Alligator mississippiensis: one gene and its partners. The protein of the gene in region 2 purifies or fractionates together with the protein of the main gene of each other region. This does not show direct contact. Links are inferred from orthologs where the notes say so. Each region holds a gene or a part of one and is shown on either strand. Other genes may lie near its edges. The genes, in order: E3 ubiquitin-protein ligase TRIM39-like, FASN and HIF1A.

The links.
Region 1: the proteins of FASN (region 2) and E3 ubiquitin-protein ligase TRIM39-like purify together in Homo sapiens (affinity purification with western blotting; 3 studies listed by BioGRID, with this or other methods). This does not show direct contact. The link is inferred for Alligator mississippiensis from reciprocal best matches to the Homo sapiens genes FASN and TRIM21.
Region 3: the proteins of FASN (region 2) and HIF1A purify together in Homo sapiens (affinity purification with western blotting; 3 studies listed by BioGRID and IntAct, with this or other methods). This does not show direct contact. The link is inferred for Alligator mississippiensis from reciprocal best matches to the Homo sapiens genes FASN and HIF1A.

What each region holds. Positions count from the first base shown.
Region 1 is NC_081824.1:485,826,064-485,833,277, forward strand, and holds the start of E3 ubiquitin-protein ligase TRIM39-like, read left to right. Parts: upstream 1-4,214; coding exon 4,215-4,239; intron 4,240-4,579; coding exon 4,580-5,109; intron 5,110-7,214. UniProt on the Homo sapiens protein: E3 ubiquitin-protein ligase whose activity is dependent on E2 enzymes, UBE2D1, UBE2D2, UBE2E1 and UBE2E2.
Region 2 is NC_081831.1:197,485-205,454, reverse strand, and holds the start of FASN (fatty acid synthase), read right to left. Parts: upstream 3,047-7,970; 5' UTR 2,763-3,046; intron 2,317-2,762; exon of another isoform or gene 2,172-2,316; intron 1-2,171. UniProt on the Homo sapiens protein: Fatty acid synthetase is a multifunctional enzyme that catalyzes the de novo biosynthesis of long-chain saturated fatty acids starting from acetyl-CoA and malonyl-CoA in the presence of NADPH.
Region 3 is NC_081825.1:297,678,578-297,685,536, reverse strand, and holds the start of HIF1A (hypoxia-inducible factor 1-alpha), read right to left. Parts: upstream 3,054-6,959; 5' UTR 2,936-3,053; coding exon 2,721-2,935; intron 2,177-2,720; exon of another isoform or gene 1,739-2,176; intron 214-1,738; exon of another isoform or gene 153-213; intron 1-152.

The DNA of each region.
Region 1 (7,214 bases), on a different chromosome or scaffold from region 2:
AAACACATAGCATCAGCATCTTTTTCTCTTCTCTTTCTCTCTCTTTGTCTCTCCTCTTAGTCAAGTAAGAGGTCTGGTTAAACTTACTTCCACACCTCCCATCACAAGCTCTGCCCTCATTACCATGGCATTGCCTATGCATGTCATTCATTTACATGCCTCTCTGCTAAGAACCCAAGTGTAAAGCCATGCATTCAGCTTTTCTCAGTCACTTGCTGATTCTTCCTGGTTTCTTGCTGACTTTAGCAGCCTCTCCAAGGTTTTGCTTCTAATTTATCTCCTGATGATAGCTGGTGGGCTGCATCTTCTTCTTCTTACGCAATGGGCTCTGTACTTTACAACACTACAACCTTGTTAGAAAACTGCTTGCCTAAACGTTTGCAAGGCTATTTTTAATACATCATTCTTCCTTGCGGGCAGCAGCTCTGCTGAGATGCAGAAAAAAGCCATTATTCAACTGGAAATCCAGTGCTTTCCAAGATATCAATATTGTAACCCTAGCAGTTGGGAGAATCAGGGCTGGGCAGACCTCAGGCTGGGGCAGGGTTATAGTCCTGGGTGTCAGATCCATGGTCAGATTTCCCCTGTCTCCTTTCCCACAGGTGCTCCTGGAGACCGGATACTGCCGACAGGAGCCGTGCATGAGTGCACAGGGAGCGAGAGCCCAGGCCCCCGACCGGTGAGATCCCTGCTGGGGAGACGTGGCTGCTGCACTGGAGCCTGTGGCAGCCATGGGCCTTCCCTTCCTGGCAGGAGCTGGAGGAGCAGGACCCAGGAGGTGTGCAGGTGGGGCTGAGGGTGCAGAATTGCCTCGTGTCGTCCAGACCGAAGCCGGTCCAGCACCAAGAGCTCTGGAGACAGGACGCAATGCAGGCCATGCAGCCCCCTTGTGAGGCCGAGCTGCCCTCCACGACCCCACAGCTGGCAGCACGGGATGAGCTCCCCACCCCAGAGCCCTGGCGCCAGCTCTTCCGTGGCCTGTGCTACCGGGAAGCTGAGGGCCCAGGGAAGATTTGCAGCCACCTGCGGGAGCTGTGCTGGCGCTGGCTGGAGCCCCAGTGCCGCAGCAAGGAGCAGATGCTGGAGCTGGTGGTGCTGGAGCAGTTCCTGGCCATCCTGCCCCCGGAGATGCGGAGCTGGGTGTGCGGGTGCCGCGTGGAGACGTGTGCCCAGGCCATGGCCCTGGCCGAGGGGTTTCAGCTGGGGCAGGCGGAGGACGAGAAGCTCCAGGTGAGAGCCTTTGTTTGGTGCCATCTGCACTTCCACGTGTCAGGGGATGTTTCCCCCAGATCCTGGCTCCCCAGTGACATTAGGCATTAGCTTGCCATTAGGTTGCCTTTTTTGCCACAATCTCCTCACTTACACTTCGGACAGCTGAAAGCAGGGACCTAGTGAGCTCTTAATTCCTAGGTATCCTCTTGCTAAGATCTGCAGACTTCTGGATGGCTTGGGAATCAAATGCTGTGAGAGCTTTGATCTCTGTTCCCAAGCAAGAAGAGCAGAAAGGTTTCCTGGCTGGGGCAGTATTAAAAGTGTAATGACGCAAATCAAAACGCTGCACCTCTCTTCAGATATCTGCACAGCATGCTCCAACAGTATGGATGACAGAGCTGTGACCTGGTGTCTGTGTGGTGTGGGTTGCATTGTGCAAGCATGAGAAGGAAAAGTTCAGAGAGATGAAGGCGTCTTCTAGGGCCCTACAACTTGAGAGTGCTGGTGCTGAATGAGAAGAGTCTCATCATGTCCATCCCCCCACTTTGAAAGGTGTATATAATAATGAAGAGTCAATAATATATTAATAAAATTCCAATATAATGATGTCTGTCTATCTTTCTGTCTGTCCATAATGCTTTTGTTTGTGTGCATGCACTGCTGAGATAGGGTTTCCATACATCTGGGTTTCCCCAGACATATCCCTGCTCTTCTTAAGTCCTCTGATCTCCATCCAGGTGGGCTGTCTGGGATTTCCCTTTGCTCTGGGGGTGGGAGCAGGGAGAGCCTGATTGGAGGCAGCAGGAGCACACACAGACCTGCCTGCAGCTGTGGAGGCAGCAGACCCATGCACTGCTCCCTGCTGCCTGCGATCCCCTCCCTCTGCCACCCCCAGAGCAAAGCAGAAATGCAGACATGATCAGGGCGGGGAGATCGGGGGCTACAGCTGTGATGGGGTGGGGGCAGAGGAGAGTGGCCTGTTCTCCAGTAGGGAAAGGGCAGGGGGCAGCGGGGAACTCATCATTCATTCCTGCCTGTGGCAGGGGGTCAGTCTAGATGCTCTGTTCAGGTCCCTCCTGACCCAAGCTACTATGAAACTATGAAACTATTAAACTTCATGGCTGGGCGGCCATGCAGAGATTGGTGCCTGTGCTCGGAGGGGCTGAGCGGCCAGGAGTCGCTGCGCGGGGAAGGGGGAGAGGGGGGTTGCCCTGGCCAGGCTGCCCACAGGGCACTGAAGCCCCATCCCAGGGCAGGGGATGCCACTAGCCTCCCCTCCTCTCCCCTCAGCCTGTGCTGGGGATGGACACCCTCCACCACCGCCTGCATGAATCGGAGCCACCGCACTCCATCCTGGTCAGGACGGGGACAGCTGGGGCCCTCTGGCAGGGCTGGTGGGGGTAGGGGGCCGTGGGTTGGGAGTGAGGGGCATCGGGGATGGGGGACTGTGGGTTGGGAGTGCAGGGGGCACTGGCAGTGCCAGAGGACTGCAGGTCTGGAGTGAGGGGCACCATCATGGCCCGGGGGTCAGGGTACGGCAGTTCGGTGAGTGAGGGGCACCGGCAGGGCAGGGTGAGTGGGTTGGGAGTGAAGGGCAGCAGCAAGCATGGCGGGGCTGTGGCTTGGCAGTGGGGGGAAGCAGAATGGGTAGAGGCAGGGCCACACTTCGGGGCCGGCCATGTAAACACTCCTTTGAAATCCATCCTTCATGATGGGCGATTAGCTAGTATTCAAGTATATTTTAATAATAGATAATATTTATATAATGTATTTACCTTTCATTTTCTCACACCATCTTTTCTAGGCAATAAACTATGATCTCACTATTGAACTGATAAAAAAGCACCTTTGATCTTGCGCCTTGAGTTGACCACATTTACCACTGAACTCACCATCTTGAATGCAGGAAAGGGATGGGCTGCGAACCTTAGACCCAGAAGAAATAAAGCAGAGAAGTTTAATCAAGAACTCACTCTTATCAATCCAAGGCCTATTACTCACTGCGTACTTGTTGGCAGGTGAACTGCTCAGCTGTCCCTTTGCCCAGAAACAGAAATGGGGCAGATGAGACAACTTTATTGTGAGTTTTGAGTGCTTCCATGAACATGGAGCAAGCTTCTTTGCATCTACCCTGTGGTTAGGGCACGAACAGGGGCAGTTTCCATGCCATGCCAGGTACCATGGTGGAGGAACTGACCCCAAGTTCACAATCAAGCTTTCCTTACAGTAACGGGACCTCAAACCCTTCTTTCCTTCTCTGGGCACCTGCTGCTCCAAGTGCGTGGGGAGTTTGAGATCCCTGATCTTGGTGTGTGACCTACTGGCTGGCTTGTCAGGCTGCAGGAAGCTGCTCTCTGTCTAGCTCAGGGGTCAGCAATGTTTTTGGGCAGAGTGCTAGAACATCCACAAACTCTACCTGTAAGATGCTGGTGGGCCAGGGGCAAATGGCCGGGGAGCCATGATGGGCCCAATCCTTCTTGTGGCAGTGCCAAACCAGCCCTTTCGCTGCTGTCTGCCCTGAGGCACACATGCCAAGCACAATGCCTTTACGTGTCACACTCTGGAACCTGTGCTAGGATTGCTAACCCCTCATCCAGCTTGTAGGCACTATCGGATAGCTCCACTTCCACAGAGCTGGGGTGCCCCTGGGGTGATAACAAATGCCTTCAGGTCCTGGGCATCACAGCTGGCAGAGGTCCCATAAGGTGAGGACAGCTATGCAGGGGTTGACGGGGGAGAAATGAAGGGAACAGCCCTGTGACAGGCTGGTTTCTGCCCCACTGGCCTGAGGTCTGGGCTCACTTCCCTTGTGTGGATGCTGGACCCAGCTCTCTGTAATGCCTGGGAAGGCTGATGGACCCCGTTAGTGTCAGGATGGCTCTAAGGGACTGTGTGGTGTCTCCGTAGCTCCCTGTGCCACAGGCCTGATGAGAACCTGTGATCATCTTCTGCCCTTGTGAGTCCTAAGCACAATCTCCAAACCTGTGCCACCTCTGGGCAGAATGGCACGCAGCTGGCCTGGCACAGGTGGGACTTAAGGGGTGAGAATTAGAGCAACAACTGGGAAATTCATGTTTGGAGTCACTGGTTGCAGGATGGGAAATTAAAATAAATTGAAATTTTAAAAATCCTGCATCATGTTGAAGGCACTGCACAGCGCACTGATGGAGTGTACTGTTTCCTGCGTGTTTGTGAGTCAGGGGTGGTTTCTCATCTCTGCCCCCCTGCCTGTGAACAACCTGTCTCCCCTCCCTTTCTCCTCCCTGCCTCTATTGTTCCTTGCCCTCATCCCTCCTTTCTGTCCACTCAGGTTACTTCTTCCTTTTGCTGTCCCTTTGCCCCCATGGCCCCTCCTCTCTGTTCTTAGAAGTGCGCTTAGAGGAAATCACCTTCTGTTCTCAGGTAGGCACCACCCAGGACAAGCCCAGCCTGCACAGAGCACAAAGAACAATCAGCAGAAGACGGGGCCGTGCAGCCTCAGACCCTCCAGGACAGGACATGGCTGAAGAGGCCACCTGCTCCATCTGCCTGGACCTCCTGAAGGAGCCGGTGACCATAAACTGTGGACACAACTTCTGCCAAGTCTGCATCACCCGATACTGCGAGGACCGTGTCGATGACTCAGATGACCCTGTCCCCTGTCCCAGCTGCAGAGCAGAATTTCAGAGAGGGAGCTTCCCGCTCAACACTCAGCTCAAAAACCTGGTGGAGAAGATTAAAGAGCAGAGTGTGAAACCAGGAAAGGAGCAGACGGAGAATCACTGTGTGGAGCACGAGGAGAAACTCAAGCTCTTCTGTGAGGAGGATGGAAATGCCATCTGTCTGATCTGCAGGGAGTCCCTGGCTCACCACAGTCACACAGTGCTCCCCATCCAGGAGGCTGCCAACAATTACCAGGTAGGTGACACCAAAGACCTAGGAAAGCCCATTGCACAGACACACACTTACCTGGCAGGAGACATCCCATGATTGGTTTCAGCTCAGGTGGTTGTTCTTATCAGGCAAAGGCAATCCCCTTCTCTTCGTCTGTGAATGACTTAGTGTAGCTGAGTTGAAGGTCTATCTCTTGCACTGCAGGCAAGCTGACCTCTGAGAGAGTCTGCAAATGCCTCCCGATGCAAAGATTGGCTCATTGGTCGCACCCAGAGAGGGGTGGTGGACAGATCGGTTTTGTCATGGAGGGATATGGGCAGTGGAGTTCCCCAGGGCTCGGTCCTCGGGCCTGTGCTATTCAACATGTTTATCAGTGACTTGGAGTGGGCGTGGAAAGCACACTGTCCAACTTCAGTGATGACACAAAGATGTGGGGCGAGGTGGGCACACTGGAGGGGAGGGGAGGGACAGAACCCAACTAGATCTAGACAGGTTACAGAGGTGGGTGGATGAGAATAGGATGGAGTTCAACGCAGACAAGTGCAAGGTGCTGCATCTAGGCAGAAGGAACCAGCAACACACCGGTAGGCTGGGGAATACCTTTCACAACAACACAGCTGCTGAAAGAGATCTTGGAGTCATTGTTGACTCCAAGACAAACATGAGCCACCAATTCAAGGAAGCAGTCAGGAAGGCTAACGCACCTTCTTGTCATGCATCCACAGATGCATCACAAGCAGGGCCAAGGAGGTGATCCTCACCATCTATGTGACACTGGTCAGGCCGCAGTTGGAGTACTGCGTCCAGTTCTGGGCGCCACAACTCAGGAGGGATGTGGCCAGCATCGAGAGGGTCCAGAGAAGGGCCACTCGCATGACCAGGGGGCAGCGGGGCAGGCCCTCCAAGGATAGACTAAAGGGCCTGAATCTATTCAGCCTCCACAAGAGAAGACTGAAAGGGGACCTGGTGGCCATCTATAAACTCACTGGGGGGACCAGTGGAAAATAGCTGATGCTCTGTTCCCTCAGGCACCACCCAGGATAGCAAGGAATAACAGCCACAAATTGATTGAGAGCAGGTTCAGCCTGGATATCAGGAGGTATTTCTTTATGGTTAGGGCTGTCAGACTCTGGAATGGGCTCCCAAGGGAGGTGGGGCTCTCCCCTACCTTGCGGGTCTTCAAAGGGAGGTTGGACAGATATCTGGCTGGGGTATTATGATCCCAGCACTCGTTCCTGCCCAGGGCAGGGGGTCAGACTTGATGATCTGTTCAGGTCCCTTCTGACCCGAGTAGGTATGAAACTATAAGATCTTGAACAGAAAACTTAAGTTGATGAGGAATAGCTCTTGGGCTTGCCTTTAGCTTGCTCCTTTGGCCTTTTGGAAAAATGAAATTAGTGGGCACCTGAACTCCAAGGCCTCTGGGCTTGTGGCTTGCACATAGGATGCTTGCCATGGATTTGGCATTATCTGAAGCCCCAACCTGAAGTGTCTGCAAGGGAGAGTACTTGCTGGTGGTAGCACCACATGGCCATGAATGATTGAGCTCTGCTTAGTTGATAGGATTGAGAACTAATTTGGCCAAAGAGATAACATTTTAAAAAAGAAATACATTTTGTCTAGTGCAAGGTGTGGAGAAATCACCCAGCCCCCAGCCCCCCCCCCGAGTAAATCGCCCAGTATAGCGGGGGAGAGGCACCTTCTGGTCACTGAATCATGCTCTGGGCCTCCAGAATTCCCTGGACATGGATGTGAGTAACTTACCTGAAATCTAGTGAGGAACTTAGATTGAGGTGCTCTAGTCGCATATCAAAAGGTTAACCAGCTTATATTGATTTGCTCAAAATGGGTTTTCTTTCTGTATGCTGCTGTGTGCATCCCTCTCTCACCTTATCCCTCTTTAATAAATAAATTGACCTGTTTTAGCACGCCCCACTGTGTGTGCTTAAGAGAGAAGGGATACCCCTGCTAGCTCACTTTGCTAGGCTTGCTAAGGTGGACTTGAATTTTCTACTTTCCTTCTGTATGAAAGATGCACCCCCAAATCCCACGGTGGGTTAAGCAGACCCAAGATCTTTAGGGTCTGTGTACCCCAGGTGGCACAGAGACCTAACAAAGATCTGAGTCCA
Region 2 (7,970 bases):
AGAAGCTCCACAACAAAATCCTAAACGTTGCCTTTCCCAGTGCCCCTTGGAAAAGACAGCCATAGTTTCCCATTGTCCAGGGTTGCCACCACCCACTTCAGACTTGCAGAGATATGGATCGTACATGCCTTTTTTCTTCTTAAAGACATCTGTGGTAATTTTACTCAAATTGTAATCCAACTAACTGGCTCTCTTACTGCACAGCCTACCTGAACCTTTCATTCTGCTTATGAGGCCAACCCCAATGGGCCATTTATCATCTTCTCCCACAAACACCTTGGTACCCCTTTTTTCCCCCATATCATTTCCTTCTAATTTGAGTCTGTCAAACCATTTATCTTCCTTCATTCAAATACATCCACAGTGCATTCTCACAATGTCCATGTGATATGAATCAATAACACATATATTTTAATTTTTTTTTTTTACTGGAACTATCAAGAGGTGCAAAAACTTAAAGTGAGAATTCACATGTAACTCTTCTTCCTCACTTCAATCTCTTCCTACTGTTTATTAAACTTGCTCATTCGCATCACTATATACTATTGTACCCAAATCTTCAGAGGACAGACCATGACTTCATTTGTGCTTTAAGGTGCCATTCATACTTCCTGGTCCTATAAAAATAATAAATGATAACATCCACTTAGCCTGTTTCCCTAAATCTCTGAAATCAGTACAGTTTCTCTCACAGTGCAATGCTATTCTGTGTTGGTCATGTCAGATAATCCTGTCCGCATACACATGGGGATGCACAGAACAATAACTCAGACAAGCGTGTCTTTCCAGTGGTGGCTTTTTAATCTCTTAAAATCCAAGAGAGATTTTGAGATCAGTCAACCTTATAAAAATATCCCTGCTCCAAAAGGATGCCACAATTTAAACATCATTTCTTTCAACAAAGACCAGACAAATCTCATTTTTAGGGTGCGGGGCTGTGGGAATCAGGGTGGAAGTGACAAGCACAGTAGTCAGACAGAGCTTTGCCTTTTTATGATGCGTCAAGTAATAGCTATTACTAAAGGGAAGAAGCTAGACTACAGGACTCAGTGGTCCGATCGTTTTTTTAATTCCTTTGACTCAGTTTTCCCATCAGTTTTCTTAGTCTTCGCTAAGAAAAGAAAAATTAAGTGAATGCTCTCTTTAGATTAAAATTGGTAGTTGGATATATCTGGAGAAGGCATTTATTTACATTTTTATAAATGTTATCTTTTCCAGTGGAGTAGGCAAAGATTGAGATTTTCTACTAGCAGCAACATTACTGGAAGTGCTTATTGGACAACATAACAGAAAGGTCTATCCTTTTTATATCTCCCTTTTACTCTTCTCAGCTGTAGCTGGTCCAAATGCATTTGGCTTTTACCACAGCTAAAAATATGAAGTAACGTAATTCTAATGCAGGAATGAACAAGCACCAAGCTTATTATGTAAAAAAAGGAACAGTACTGTCATTAGTTCAGAATCCATTTATCTCAAAATATGTCTAATGCACTGAACAGTTTCTGCACTGCTATATAAGAGTCTATGGTGCCAGCCCATGTACAGGGCGATATCAAAACACTGTCATAAGTGCCCTTTAAAAACCCTGACATGTGCTTCATTGGCTAAACTTAGCAATACAATCTTTACACAAGACCTTTGTAACAGTCCAAAGGGACCAAAAATAAGACCTTCCAGCTCACTGCCTCGCTACTGCCTCCTCTTAAATGTCAGTTATCTGAAGTCATAATATATTAAAAGGGGGCTAAGGAGCAACAAGTTTAGAATATTTAAATCTTTTATTTTACTGAAAATGTCATTCAAGTCTACAATTCCAAAATTACTATATAGCAGGCGAATTGTTTTCTCAAACATTTGGCTATTTTAACAATACTAGCAAGTTAAGAGCATTTGTAGCCTCTAAACTATAATTAAGTTACCTTATCCACAAAACGTGAACAAGTCAGTCAGTGGAGGGTCGACGGGAAAGTGTTGCTCTTGCCCAAGGACCCAACACTGGGATCCGCTCACGTTGTGAGATACCTTGGGGTCATACATGTGTACACGGAAGAGAAAACACACCTTCCAGAAGCTGCTAGAAACTATTTTTCCCCCAGTGAGCAACTGCATGTCCCGGAAAGGCACCCTAAACGAGTACAAAAGTATTTGCCACCCACAGCATCGATACTCACACGGTCTGCAGGTATCAAAACCTCAGGAGGCGTTTCTAAAGAGGGTCGAGGAAACTGCTATGGACTTTTGCAGAGCACCTGCGCCAATGTCCTGGGTCTCTAACACTCGTGCTGCGAACTGTAGCACGGTAACCAGTAAAAACGTCTGTGTGGACAGAGCGAGGCGTCGGGTCCGGTACTGCTGCACCGCCCTGCAGCTCCGACCCAGGAGCTCCCGAGCCCCTGCTCGCTCGGCAGCGCAACGCAGCAGCAGAGCGAGGCGCGCAGGGGCAGGCCCGTCGCCTCTCCCGTGACGGGCAAACTCTCGTCCTCCCCAAAGGCTCAGTCGCCACCCGCACCAGCCCCACATCCTTCACATCGCGAGACGCCACGCCGCGACACTCGCGCAGACACACGCCTCGTCGGGCAGCGACTGCGGAGCCCCTGCTACCAGGCCAGGCCAGGCCAGGCCAGGCGTGTCCGAGGCAGCTGCCTGGCATCCAGGCACGGCGCCAGGGCAGGCTGGCTGTGCCCTCCAGCGCCCTGCGGAGCTGGCCCCTGCTGCGGGCCGCGGGCGGGCGGGCGGGCCGTGCTCCCGCGCCTGCTACTCACCGCCTCCTGACGGGCAGGCCCGGCACGGCCGGCCCCCTAGCGCGGGGCAGCAGGGCTCGGCCCGCACGAGCACGGGGCCCTCGGAGCGCCCCTGGGCCTCGGCGCGGAGGGGCCTCCTCCTCCCCGGGACGTGCGCGCAGACACGGTGCAGCGCAGAAGCGCCTCGGGCGTGAGCGCCGCCTCGGCCGCACCGGGACGCGGCCCTTCCCGCGGCTGCGGCGGGGCGGCCTCCTGCTCCAGGCCGCGGCGGCGCGTCCCGCCCCGTCCCGCCGACCAGGCCGCGTCGTCATGGCAACGCCCGGGCCCCTGCGCGCGCAGCCGGCCGGCACCACGTGACCTGCGGCGGAGGAAGCGCCCGGGCCCGGGCGGGAGTGAGGCGCCGCCCGAGCTGCCCGGCAACGCTGCCGGCCCCGCCCCGCCCCGCCCGCCCGCCCGCCGTTTTCTCTGCCGATGTGGAGCGGAAAGCCCGGCTCCATTTCTGCCGGGCCGCGAGGAAATCAGCGCCAGGGCGACGGGCAGCCAGCCAGCCCGGGAGAAGGGCGAGGGGCCGGCGGGAAGGCCACGAGGCACTTGCTCTACTTGGGACTACACCGGTTTCCTCGGTGGCTCCACTGGCTTCAGGAAACGATGCTGTGAATAACAATAAACCCTCGAGCGCAAGGAGCTGCGGTCCAGGCCGCTTACCCTCGTTACCGCCATAGTGGTCTAGGCCATCGTTAATGCTGGTTTAAACTCGCACGTGGCAGTTGTGTTCAAGTCTATACAGATACGAACTGATGCTCGGGCTTCCTGTGAGGGTAGACGAGGAGCCCGTTCCCGCAGGCGCTGGCGGACGCGCGGCGCGGCGCGGCACGGCTCGCCGGCTGCTGCGGGACTCAGGTCGATTTTACATCGGCGTGAGTCAGCAAAACTCTCCGGGCCTCCCAGGGTGCTGCGTCCCTGCGGGCAGACGTACGCGTCTGGGAGAAGCAGAGGACGTCCGGCCGCATGAACGCGTGCACGTTTTCTTTTTCCTGTGAGAAAAGGGGTCAGGAATGAAGAGCAGAGAAGCGCTATCCAGTCAGGCGGTGCTTAGTGCGGGAAGCACGGCTGAGGCAACAGTGGCTGCGGGCCGTCCCTCGGCTTCTGCGTGCTGGCCCCAGCCCTGCGATGCACGCGCCTGAGAGAGCAAAACATGCAAATGGTTTCACAATGGAGAAGGGTTGGGCCACGGATCGTAGATACTCCAGCATCCAAATGCAAACATGATGTTAGTGCAACATTCAAATTCAGGTAAGTCTGAAGCATCTGCTACTAATGTTTGTCTCCTAAATTGGACCATATACTATGGGCTTGTATTTAACATGTGTTACCGTTAAATGGATTTACATTGTGCATTTTTACATTGCTCCATGTATTTTCTGTGTCTCAGAAGACAAGACCCCATTATCACACTTGGTTAGAAGCAAGGCTAAGGTGTTTGAAACCTCAGTTCTGAATTTATTTGCCCTTTCTGCAATAAAGATCTGACGGGGGCCCTTTGTACTGCCTGGCACGTGAGACTGAAGCTAAAAATCAAAGACTGGCACTGTATCAGTGAATGACAACTATGAAATAACGTAATATTTTTTTCAGTTTTAGCATTACAGATTTAATGTTACCCAAAGCATAACACTCACTATACATATCATTCTAGTGTGAGAGGGGGAACATTTTTCCTTTAAAAGATGACTGTTAAAAGCTTAATGAAGCCAAATATGTACAAGCATATCAAGCACCACCATAAATCTTAGAAATAAGAACTGGAAATCACCTAAACTCCAAGGAGTGGTGGGATTCCACTGGAGCAGCTGCCCCTTAAGACTCCTAAGATACACTCTGCTTCTGCAAGGCCTGGAAGAAGGTAGTAGGTACTCCTAAGGTAGAAGGTACTCTTAAGATACTCTGCTTCTGCCCGCCAAGACTCCTAAGATACACTCTGCTTCTGCAAGACTTGGAGGAAGGTCGTAGGAAGGACCCCAGCCACATGGAACTCCTCAGCTCCACAGGAGCAAAGCTGCAGCCACGTCCTCCTGCCAGCCTCCACCAGCCCCCTCTGAAACAGTGCTTCAGCCACTGCTATTCAGGGCAGCAGGGACAGCAGCATGCCTAAGAGTTAGCTGCCCAACCACACTTTGAGAGGAAAGGGACAATCTCAGCTCTGTACCTCCCACTGTGTTTTTAAGGAAAGCAATATAGGATCAAACCTAGGAAATTCACAGAACTCCTTGGAGGAATTAAAAATATGCATGTGAACATGGAAAAAGAGTACCAGCTGAAGCATGACTGTGGTGTAAGGACTCAGTCAGAAGGAGAAAAATGATAAGTGCAGTTTTTCTCATAAAGGTAAGTGTTGTCAACCGGCATTGATGTTTCGCCTCAGCCAAAAAGATGCATGATCTGGGCTTGAGTGTGGCTCTAGGATTGTGTAGTTTTTATGGAACTGACATGCTTTAAAATATATATATATATATAAAACAGCAAGGAATATGTCAATGATCAATCAATCAACAAAAGTATGAATACCAGGGCTTCAAACATAAAAACAATACCTGAAGACCATGCTGAATACAGAATATAAGGGCCAAATCTTGGCACCCACCCATACACATATCATATTTGTGAGGAATCTAGCAAAAAACAAAACATTTGCAACCATGGGTAGCAAAACTACTTTTGAGCTGCAGAAGAGGCTACTTTCAAGTGGTATCAAATGCAACACAGTACCTGGTTTAGAGTTATGATTCTAGTGTGGCTGTTTTAGCGTGCTTGCCATGTGCTTGCAGCGATGACATTAAGGGCAGAAAATGGTGTTGCTATTTAGCTAACCCTGGAAAGCAGTTTCCAAAGGCCTCTCTGGACACCTTTTGTCAGTTCTGAACATTCCCTCTGTACAAATCAGTGACAAAACCTTTAATATTTAAAAACATACAATATCTTTCTGCGTATCGTGAGTCACTATCGATTCCAAGCGTTTCCGAGTTACCTAGATTCAATCCAGGTTTCTGTAAGCATAACACCACAGGACTTTGCTCACAACACTAGCTTCTCGTTAACTGCTGAATGTTAAATGCTGAATCAAATCCAAGAATTTGGTCCTGGTCTTCAAAGCATCCTTTGAAGGCTCCACTTAGCCTTGCTTTTACCCACCAGGATGATGTTTGCTCTCAGCATAGGGCATTCATCCTGGAATAATAGAATCATCAACTACAAGGGTGAGACTAGGGCTTGTGATGATGAACTCACTTCTGAACAGCAAGATGGCAATGAATCTTACCACCATCAGAATGAAATGGAGCCCAGATCCCTAAGCTTTCCCACAGCTGTAAACTCTAGCTCCCAAACACCTGCAGCAGGGTTGGAGCCTATGTATGAGCTTTGGTGAGGATGGATTCTACCAGACCTGATAGGATGTGGTGTTCTCTTTCTTCTGACTCTTACACGGAAGTCCTGGACTTCAGCAAAGCCGACTTTGACAAGCTCAGGAGGCTTGTCAGTGAGGCCCTAAGGGACCATGACCACGGAGAGGGGAGTTCAAGAAGAGTGGTTGCTCCTCAAGGGAGCAATCCTCAATGCACAAACTAAGTCTATTCCATCTTGGAGGAAAGGCAGCAAGAGGGCGCAGCAGCCCCCCTGGCTCTCCAGGGACCTAGCAGACCTCCTGAGGCTAAAAAGAAAGTCCTACAAAGGATGGAGGATGGGAGTCATCTCCAAGGAGGATTATTTTGCACTGGTCCGGTCCTGCAGGGAGCAGACCAGGAAAGCCAAGGCTGCAACTGAACTCCAAGTAGCTTTGAGCATCAAGGACAATAAAAAGTCCTTTTTCAGATATGTGGGGAGCCGGAGGAAAAGCAGGGGCAACATTGGACCCTGCTGAACCAGATGGGGCAACTGACAACTGACGCCCGGGAAAAAGCCAACCTATTAAATAGGTACTTTGTGTCGGTCTTTAATCAGTCCCATGGGACGCCCGTGCCCACTACAGGGCCGGGAAGTCCGTGTGAGGGTGATCCCCTGCCCTCCACTAATGCTGACTTCGTGAAGGAACATCTTGAGAAGCTGGATACCTTCAAGTCAGCCAGCCCTGACAATCTTCACCCCAGGGTACTCGAGGAGCTGGCAAGCATCATAGCCCAGCCTCTAGCACGGATCTTTGAAAACTCTTGGCACTCTGGTGTCGTGCCCGAAGACCGGAAGAAGGCCAACGTGGTGCCTATCTTCAAGAAAGGGAGGAAAGTGGATCCGGCTAACTATAGGCCCATCAGCCTGACTTCTATCCCGGGGAAGGTCTTAGAAAAGTTTATTAAAGAGGCCATCCTTAATGGACTGGCCGACGCCAACATCTTAAGGGATAGCCAGCACGGGTTTGTTGTGGGTAGGTCTTGCTTGACCAATCTCATTTCCTTCTATGACCAGGTGACCTATCACCTGGACAAGGGAGAAGAGATTGATGTCATATATCTTGACTTCAAAAAAAGCCTTCGATCTGGTATTCCATGATTGCCTCTTGGTGAAACTGGCCAATTGTCGCCTTGGGTCCTCCACGATCCACTGGCTGGAAAATTGGCTCCGGGGTCGGACCCAGAGGGTACTAATTGATGGACGTCACTCATCGTGGTGTCCTGTGACCAGTGGGGTCCCCCAAGGCTCTGTCCTTGGACCCATACTGTTCAACATCTTCATTAACGATGTGGACACTGGAGTCAGAAGCGGACTGGCCAAGTTCGCCGATGACACCAAACTTTGGGGCAAAGCATCCACACCAGAAGACAGGCGGGTGATCCAGGCTGACCTGGACAGGCTCAGCAAGTGGGCGGATGAGAACCTGATGGTGTTCAACGCCGATAAATGCAAGGTTCTCCACCTTGGGAAGAAAAACCCGCAGCATCCTTATAGGCTCGGCAGTGCTATGTTGGCTAGCACTATGGAAGAAAGAGACTTGGGGGTCATCATTGACCACAAGATGAACATGAGCCTGCAGTGCAATGCTGAGGCTAGTAAAGTGACCAAAATGCTGGCTTGCATCCATAGATGCTTCTCAAGCAAATCCTGGGACGTCATTCTCCCCTTGTACTCGGCCTTGGTGAGGCCGCAGCTGGAGTACTGCGTCCAGTTTTGGGCTCCACAATTCAAAAAGGATGTGGAGAAGCTTGAGAGAGTCCAGAGAAGAGCCACGCGCATGATCAGAGG
Region 3 (6,959 bases), on a different chromosome or scaffold from region 2:
AGGTTTAAAGGGGCAATTTAAAAATCAAATTTAAAGCTGGTAAAAAAGCAAATGAGACCAACAGTAGCTTCAGATAAAATTACTGCCCCAAACCAGTTGCCAATTTTGTGGTTTTTACTGAAACAAACACCTTTTCTTTCATTACGTTAAAGCCCCATCTGCGACAGAGGAAGTTGAGTCATTGCCTGACTGTGCCTGGAAAACAGCCTGACTGTAAGTTTCATCAAAATACACTAAGGCAGATTTAAAATGTCCTCCTCACATTTATTGTATGCTTCACAACTATAGCAGGTGAAAAATATCACACCCTGCAGGAAAATATCAAGATGTAGCCGAAGAAATCTCAATACCACCAGTGACGTGTGCCAGCTCTTGGCTCATAGACAATGTACCAACAAAATGAAGAAGGGTTAAAATAGGGAAAGGGAAAAAGGGAGGACCTAGGGAATTATAGACCAATTAGCCTGACTTCAGTATTTGGGGAAATTACTAGAGCCAATTATAAAAGTTAAATGATGAATAACTGGAGAGGATAAGCACCAGTAGCCAATATGGATTTAAGAAAAAAATCTTGTCAATTTAACTTCCTTTTCTGACAGGGTAAAACATTGTGTGAATACGTGGAATTTGGTGCATTTAATATACCTGAACGTTAGCAAGGCGCTTGACATGTCATTCTCATAAGCAAGTCGGAGAAATATGGGCTAGTTATGGATCCACCTAACGGCAGTTCTAATTGGTTGAATAGCTGCAAGCGAAGCATAGCTATTAATGATGTCAGGCTGGCAAGGAGCCTCAAGTGAGATTTCCACAGGGTCCTGTTCTGGGTTGGATGCTGTTTAACATTTTTATTACTTGGATGCAGGAATACAGAATCTCATCAAAATTTGTTGGGAAGGGTTTCAAGCACTTTTCAGAATAGGATTAAAATTCAAAAGGATCTTGATAAATTGGAGAACTAGCTTGGAGAGAACAAAATGCAATCTGACCCAGACCAATGTAAGGTGCTACTTGTAGAGAAAAAAACCAAATGCAGATGCAGAACGGGGATTGGCTTGGCAGTAGCACTGCCAAGAAGCATCTGAGGTTACAGCAGATCAACCTCAACAGGAATCAGCAACTTGATTAAAAAAAGGGGGGGAGGGGGAGATTTGGGTTGTGTTCAAAGAGTTATTATACTACATTTAAAAGAGGACAGAAACTGGAGAGTGAGTGATGGAGGTAAGGCAGATGAAAAGCAATGTTGAAGAAACTAGGTATGTTTAGTTTGAAGGAAAGGAGATTAAAGGGTGGGGGGTGGAGAAGGCTGATAGCCAATTTTCAAATATTTGAAGGCAGCTATTTAGAAGATGGAGAAACACTTGCTCTCCCCTGCGACAGAGGTCAGGACAGGAGGCAAGGTTTAAATTACAGCAAAGCAGGTTTAGATCAAATCCCAGGAGAAAACGTCCTAGCTGCAAGACCTGCAGAACAAGAGAATAAATTGCTTTGAATCTCTTTCACTGGAGGATGTTTAAGGGATGGCAAATAATGAATCTGACCAGAGGTTTGTAAGTGATGATCCTTCCCACCTCTTCTAGTCTTACAATTTATAACGGTTTCTATTTAAGACAGATAACAGGTAGCAAAACGGTATTAAAGGGAGAATTCTCATAACAGCAGATTGGCCTGTTACGCTTCCTCGAGATTGCTTACTAACAGTTTTCATTGTATGGTTACATCCCTGTCCTACTTTCAGACTGGAGACAGCTGTAATGTAAGTTGTATGTTGGCGCCCATTCCCTACGCAGCCCAACAGGACCACTGCAGGACACTGCTGGAAAGCGAACGCAGACAGCGCGACGGACAAAAATCACAAGTCAAGTCCGAAAACTAAAATTTTTGCCATTTTAATAACTTCTGGTTTCATGTGAACTGGTAGCACATGACTGTTTTCTCTTTTGATGGGGGCAAGACTGGATTCAGAGTTAAGAAAAAAAATAATTACAGATTTTAAAATATTAATATATTCTCACCAAGATAGTACGCAGTGAAGACTGCTACTCAGAGGCATCTGGAAAGCTTAATAGATATCAAATGAGGCAACTAACTGGATAATTCTTATAAACTGCTTTGTGTATTAAAGAACTGGCATGTACAAGGCTCTTTAAATACACCTTGTTATTTTTAAAGGAAAGCATGAATTAGGTATCAAGTCCCTGTATTACAATTTTGCCTCGTATTTTAGACTCTTAACTCAGTGGATACTTTTGCTCCTATAATGTGTACCATATTGCCTGAATCTATAGGCTTACTAATATATAGGTACATCCTGAAAAGACAGCTTTATAAGCTTGACCTTTAAAATATGACCTGAAAATATGGTGAGCCTATGACCTCACACTTTAGATCTTTTAACACTGGTTTAACATTTACTTCTGCAGTCCTGGTTCAAAGATCTTCCTTTTTGAAGCGAGATTTGGGAGTGAGGGGAAACCAGGCAGCATTCAGGACTCTTCTGACCCTTTTCTTGGGGTATCCACATTTCTTAGATGGGGGTATAACAAGTTGTGTTGCTTGGGAAGGATTCACCCCAGGCACCAATATATTTCCTTTTCTATCGCTGAGTTTCCCTATTCTGAAAGAAGGTCTAGAGCTTCAGGAACAGCAATTCCAGCTCTATCAACTTGCTTCTCAATTAAAAAAAATTTTTTTTAAATCTCTGAAGTTGAAGGCATTACCTGGAGTGAGATGGAAAATGCCAATTTCTCAAAGACACAGGCAGGCAATAACTTGCACATGCCAAGCCTGTATCTGCATGCAGGTAGTGAGAGTGGAACCTAATCTTGCCGGATGGGCCTCCTCCCCACTTCTTCATTCCCTGGAAAGCCTTGTACCCAAATGAGCTTTTCTTCAGAAAGCTTGAAGCGCTACTGAGCTTTTCACACATTTTCATGGCTTTATCTTATTTCAGCTTATTTGGCAGCAGCATCCAACAGAATGTAAGCACGCTTGAGAAATGATCTCAGAAATTGTTCACAACCACGGTTTCATTTGAAGGCACTCTGAAAGGTTTTGTTCATCTGTAACACCTCCACATCTGTAAACGTGCCAAGAATAAGAATTGTATAAGACAAAACTAAACACTTATAATCTTTCTATACTGAGAGAATAAAAAAGACCCCTGTCTGAACCTTGGGAGGAATACCCAGTGAAGAATGGGACAAAATCTTCAGAAATGCCCAGGCTGTTGGGGAAACAACATATACTCTTGATTTCCTATACATCTATGGAGTGGCAAGCATTTATTTCTGTTTCGCATTTTTGCCATGCTGAAAATTGCAGAGAGAAACTTAAAAGCTGGCCATGTATGACAAGGCATGGAAACCACGATTCCATGACCTTACTGGTATTGTAAAGCCATGACCCAATGCAGATTTTTATATACGATGGCTAAATAAGCATCAGCCAAGTTCCAAAAGTGAGTTGCATAGATTCGACAGCAGTTACGCTATTAACTGTAGGGATTGCTGCAGTTAAGCAAAAACGGAGACAAAAAGGTATTAGAGGCTTCCACTGCATCAAAACAAAAGGCATGATATAATTTAGGGAGCAGAGTTTAAGTAAAATACGTATGTATAATATTACTATTGGCAATATTAAAGTGCCCTCTGTTAGCATTCAATTAAAGAACGTACTCGTTTTAAGTCGCACAATGTTTGGTTATAACATTGTTTGGCCACTGCCTCCTAGTAGGTAACTACTGTGATATAACTGGATTCGCTTAACATTGTTTCACTTAAAGTCACGTTTTTCAAGAACATAGCTACAACATTAAGCAAGGAGTAGCTGTATTATCAAACTAGTTTGACATTTAGTTCTTTGGACTTTTGCAAGGTTTCCAAGACTTGCTGAAAAAAGCAGCATTAACTCTCTTCTAAAACTCTTGGAATCAAGTTGTTCAGACCTGCTGATGTAAAAATACTTATCTTTTAAAAGCTACTCGTTAACATGCTAATTATTACTGTAGTAATGGCAAGCATTTCATTCTATCTCCTGAAAAAGTCATTTGTTTCCCCTCCCAAATGCAGAACAGAAATATCCATCTAACATTTCTGCCTTTTTTTGTATTACTGAAAGTACCATGCCCATCTATTAAGCACTTAATATCATATTAGGAATCCTTTTGTTCTTGATATACTTAAACTCTTTTATTGCCTTCATTTCTGCTGTCTACATGCTTCTCTTTATATATTCTTTTGCTTCCCTTATCAATTTTCTATACTACATAGTTTCTAATTGGTAGCAATTGATAATCATTTTTATCCCCCCCTTATTCATATGTTGTTTTTGTAGTTGTTTCCACGTCCGCTTCTAACCAAGCTCCATTTAAAACAACCCCCCTCCCCCCACAAAACCAGAACAAACAGTGGAGACTTCTTGCCTTGACTCTGGGATTCTGGTTGTTTGGACAATGTAGGAAAATGATCTTAAACAGTCTTCAATCAGCACTGGTATTTTTTCTTTGAAGTCTTTCTGCCTACCAAATGGGCTCTCAGTGGCTTTAAAACTGATATGTTAGGCACTCTAGAAACTAGCCTTTTTCTACATTATTGGCTTGGATTTTTTCTACAGTATTGGCTTTGCTTGCAAAGACAAATGTATAAATCAAGTCAATCACTTGTACCTAGGTAACCAAAGGAAGTTCCACTAACATAAAATTCCCCCATATGGGTGCAGCCCTTTGAGACAGAAAAATTAATCCGGACAGCATTAGATACCTAGCTTGTCACTAGTTGAGGGATCCTTATAATTCAGCATTTCTTGCAGCTCATTACAGATAGCAGGAAGGATGGCTTAGTAGTCAAGATACTGGCTTGAAATGCGGGAGACCCAGTTGCCGTTCCCTGCCCTGACACCCTGTGTGACCTTGGGAAGTCACTTAGGCTCCTTCCGCAGGACGCAGGAGGGAAGCATGCTGGTTAGAGATTCCAGCTTGCTTGTAATCCGCACTTCCACGCATACGAATGCAGTCAGGACCTCATTTTGCTTTATGTCAGAAGAGGGCTGTCCAACTTCCAAGTGCCTGGGGGCCACACACCCCTTGGTCTGCACCAGCAGGGGGCCATGAGCCCTAGGGATCACATGCCCCTCTGCTGCACTGTGCACCCAGGTGCCTCCCAATGACAACAAGGTCATTGCTTTCAAATTTGCTCTTCCCTTCTATGTGCTCAGGGAGATCAGGGTCTGACAGTAAAGAGAAAGGGGCTGCCATGGGAATAAAATGGGGGTGGGGGCAGGAAGCATAGAGCAAAGGGCCTACTTTCTCCACCCCCCCGCTCTGATTTATTTTCCCTACTGTAGCAGTGGGAAGGGGACAAATTCAAGGCAAAACATCACTAAATAGATTCTACACCTGGAAAATGTTGTATTTTCTATATATAGAATGTAATTATTGGGGTTGTAATCAGGGTTGTCTTCAAGTAAATATGGTAAGTCTTAGGGCAAATGACCTACTGCAGCAGTTCCCATCCTGTGGTACACATACCACCAGTGGTACATGGACAACCTATCAGTGGTACGTGTTAACAAATGTATTAGAATTACTTTATATGACAAAAATGTGCTGGTAGTACTTAAGGTTGTGTCATTTTAAATTGGTGGTGTGCAATCTGTCAAGAGTTTGGGAACCACTGGCCTACTGGATGAGAAGATGTGTTAAGCAAATGCAAACACCCTAGAACACTTCCTTGTTATGGCGCACCTTTAATTAGTCTTTTGCTTTGATGAAGAGAAACGACAACAACCCACCAATGAAGTCCTTGTGGTAAACAGCACAGTGTAACAGTTATTTCTCTGTGGCTGGTCTTCAGCCACGCACAATGTGTTTCCCAAAGTAACTACATAATATTTGAGTTGGTCTAATAAAAGATATCGGATTTACCCAAAGAACCTTGTCCACCAGAGTAACTAGGCTTTTAGGAATTAAATCAACAGTAAAAGTTACAATAATCCACTTGGGCCCTATCTTTAATAGGAGTGTCTAAGAACAATTAATTATGTGAGTCAGGCATGTGGAGAGGTGTGATCCCAAACCCACACAGTTATGTCAGATGAACTCCTTAATACGCATGCAGTTATACCAATAAAACCGAACTCTTACTGGTGTGGTTTGTTTGCTCAGGTGGAGCTGGATGTTTGCTACACCCGTACAAAGCTCAGCCGTGCTGGTATCCATGCTATAATAGGGAGCCAGAGGGCTCCTATTACTGAAGTTGCAGTAACCTGAGCTGGCTCCGGACAGACAGGTAGCTAATACTCTACCAGTCAGCAACCATCAGACGAACCTGTAGCGACACTGGTTGTGGCTGTTCTGGGGAGTAACTTCCCAAGGGAACAGTTGCAGGGCCACAGGCAGCAGAAAGCCCAGCGCTGCAGGCAGCTGAACGAAGCCCTGACAGGGAAAACAGGCTGGCCAGTAGCAGTAAGCTACCTTGTCAGACTAACCAGCCAGCAAGCCCAGAGACACCGGGGGGGGGGGGGCAGGCACACAGCTGACAAAGCCTGAGCCAGGGAATCCGTCTGGCTGAGCAGGCTCCAGGGAAAGGAGCTCTGCCCCAAGATGGCTGGAGCTGGAGCCATGGACTGAGACCCTGCAAGTACGGGGACTGATAGCTTATAAGGAGCTACGCCCAGGATAAGTGCTTTGCTATGCAGCCAGCATACTCAGAGCTTTGGGTCACAGTCTGTGAGCTAATTCTCTTGTTATTGGGCCGCTCGGGACTGAAGGGGAGGTGGAGGTCCCAGCAGGGCCTGAGGGGCACGTGACTACTTTGAGCCTTGCCAGGGGCTGGGCTCAAGGTGCAGACGGGGTGACCAGGCAAAACATTGCAGCCTAGAACAGAGCCAGGGGGCCCAGGAAGGGCGAGAACCACGGCCCGATATGTGAGACTAGGGGTGAAGCCCAAGAAGCCAGACCC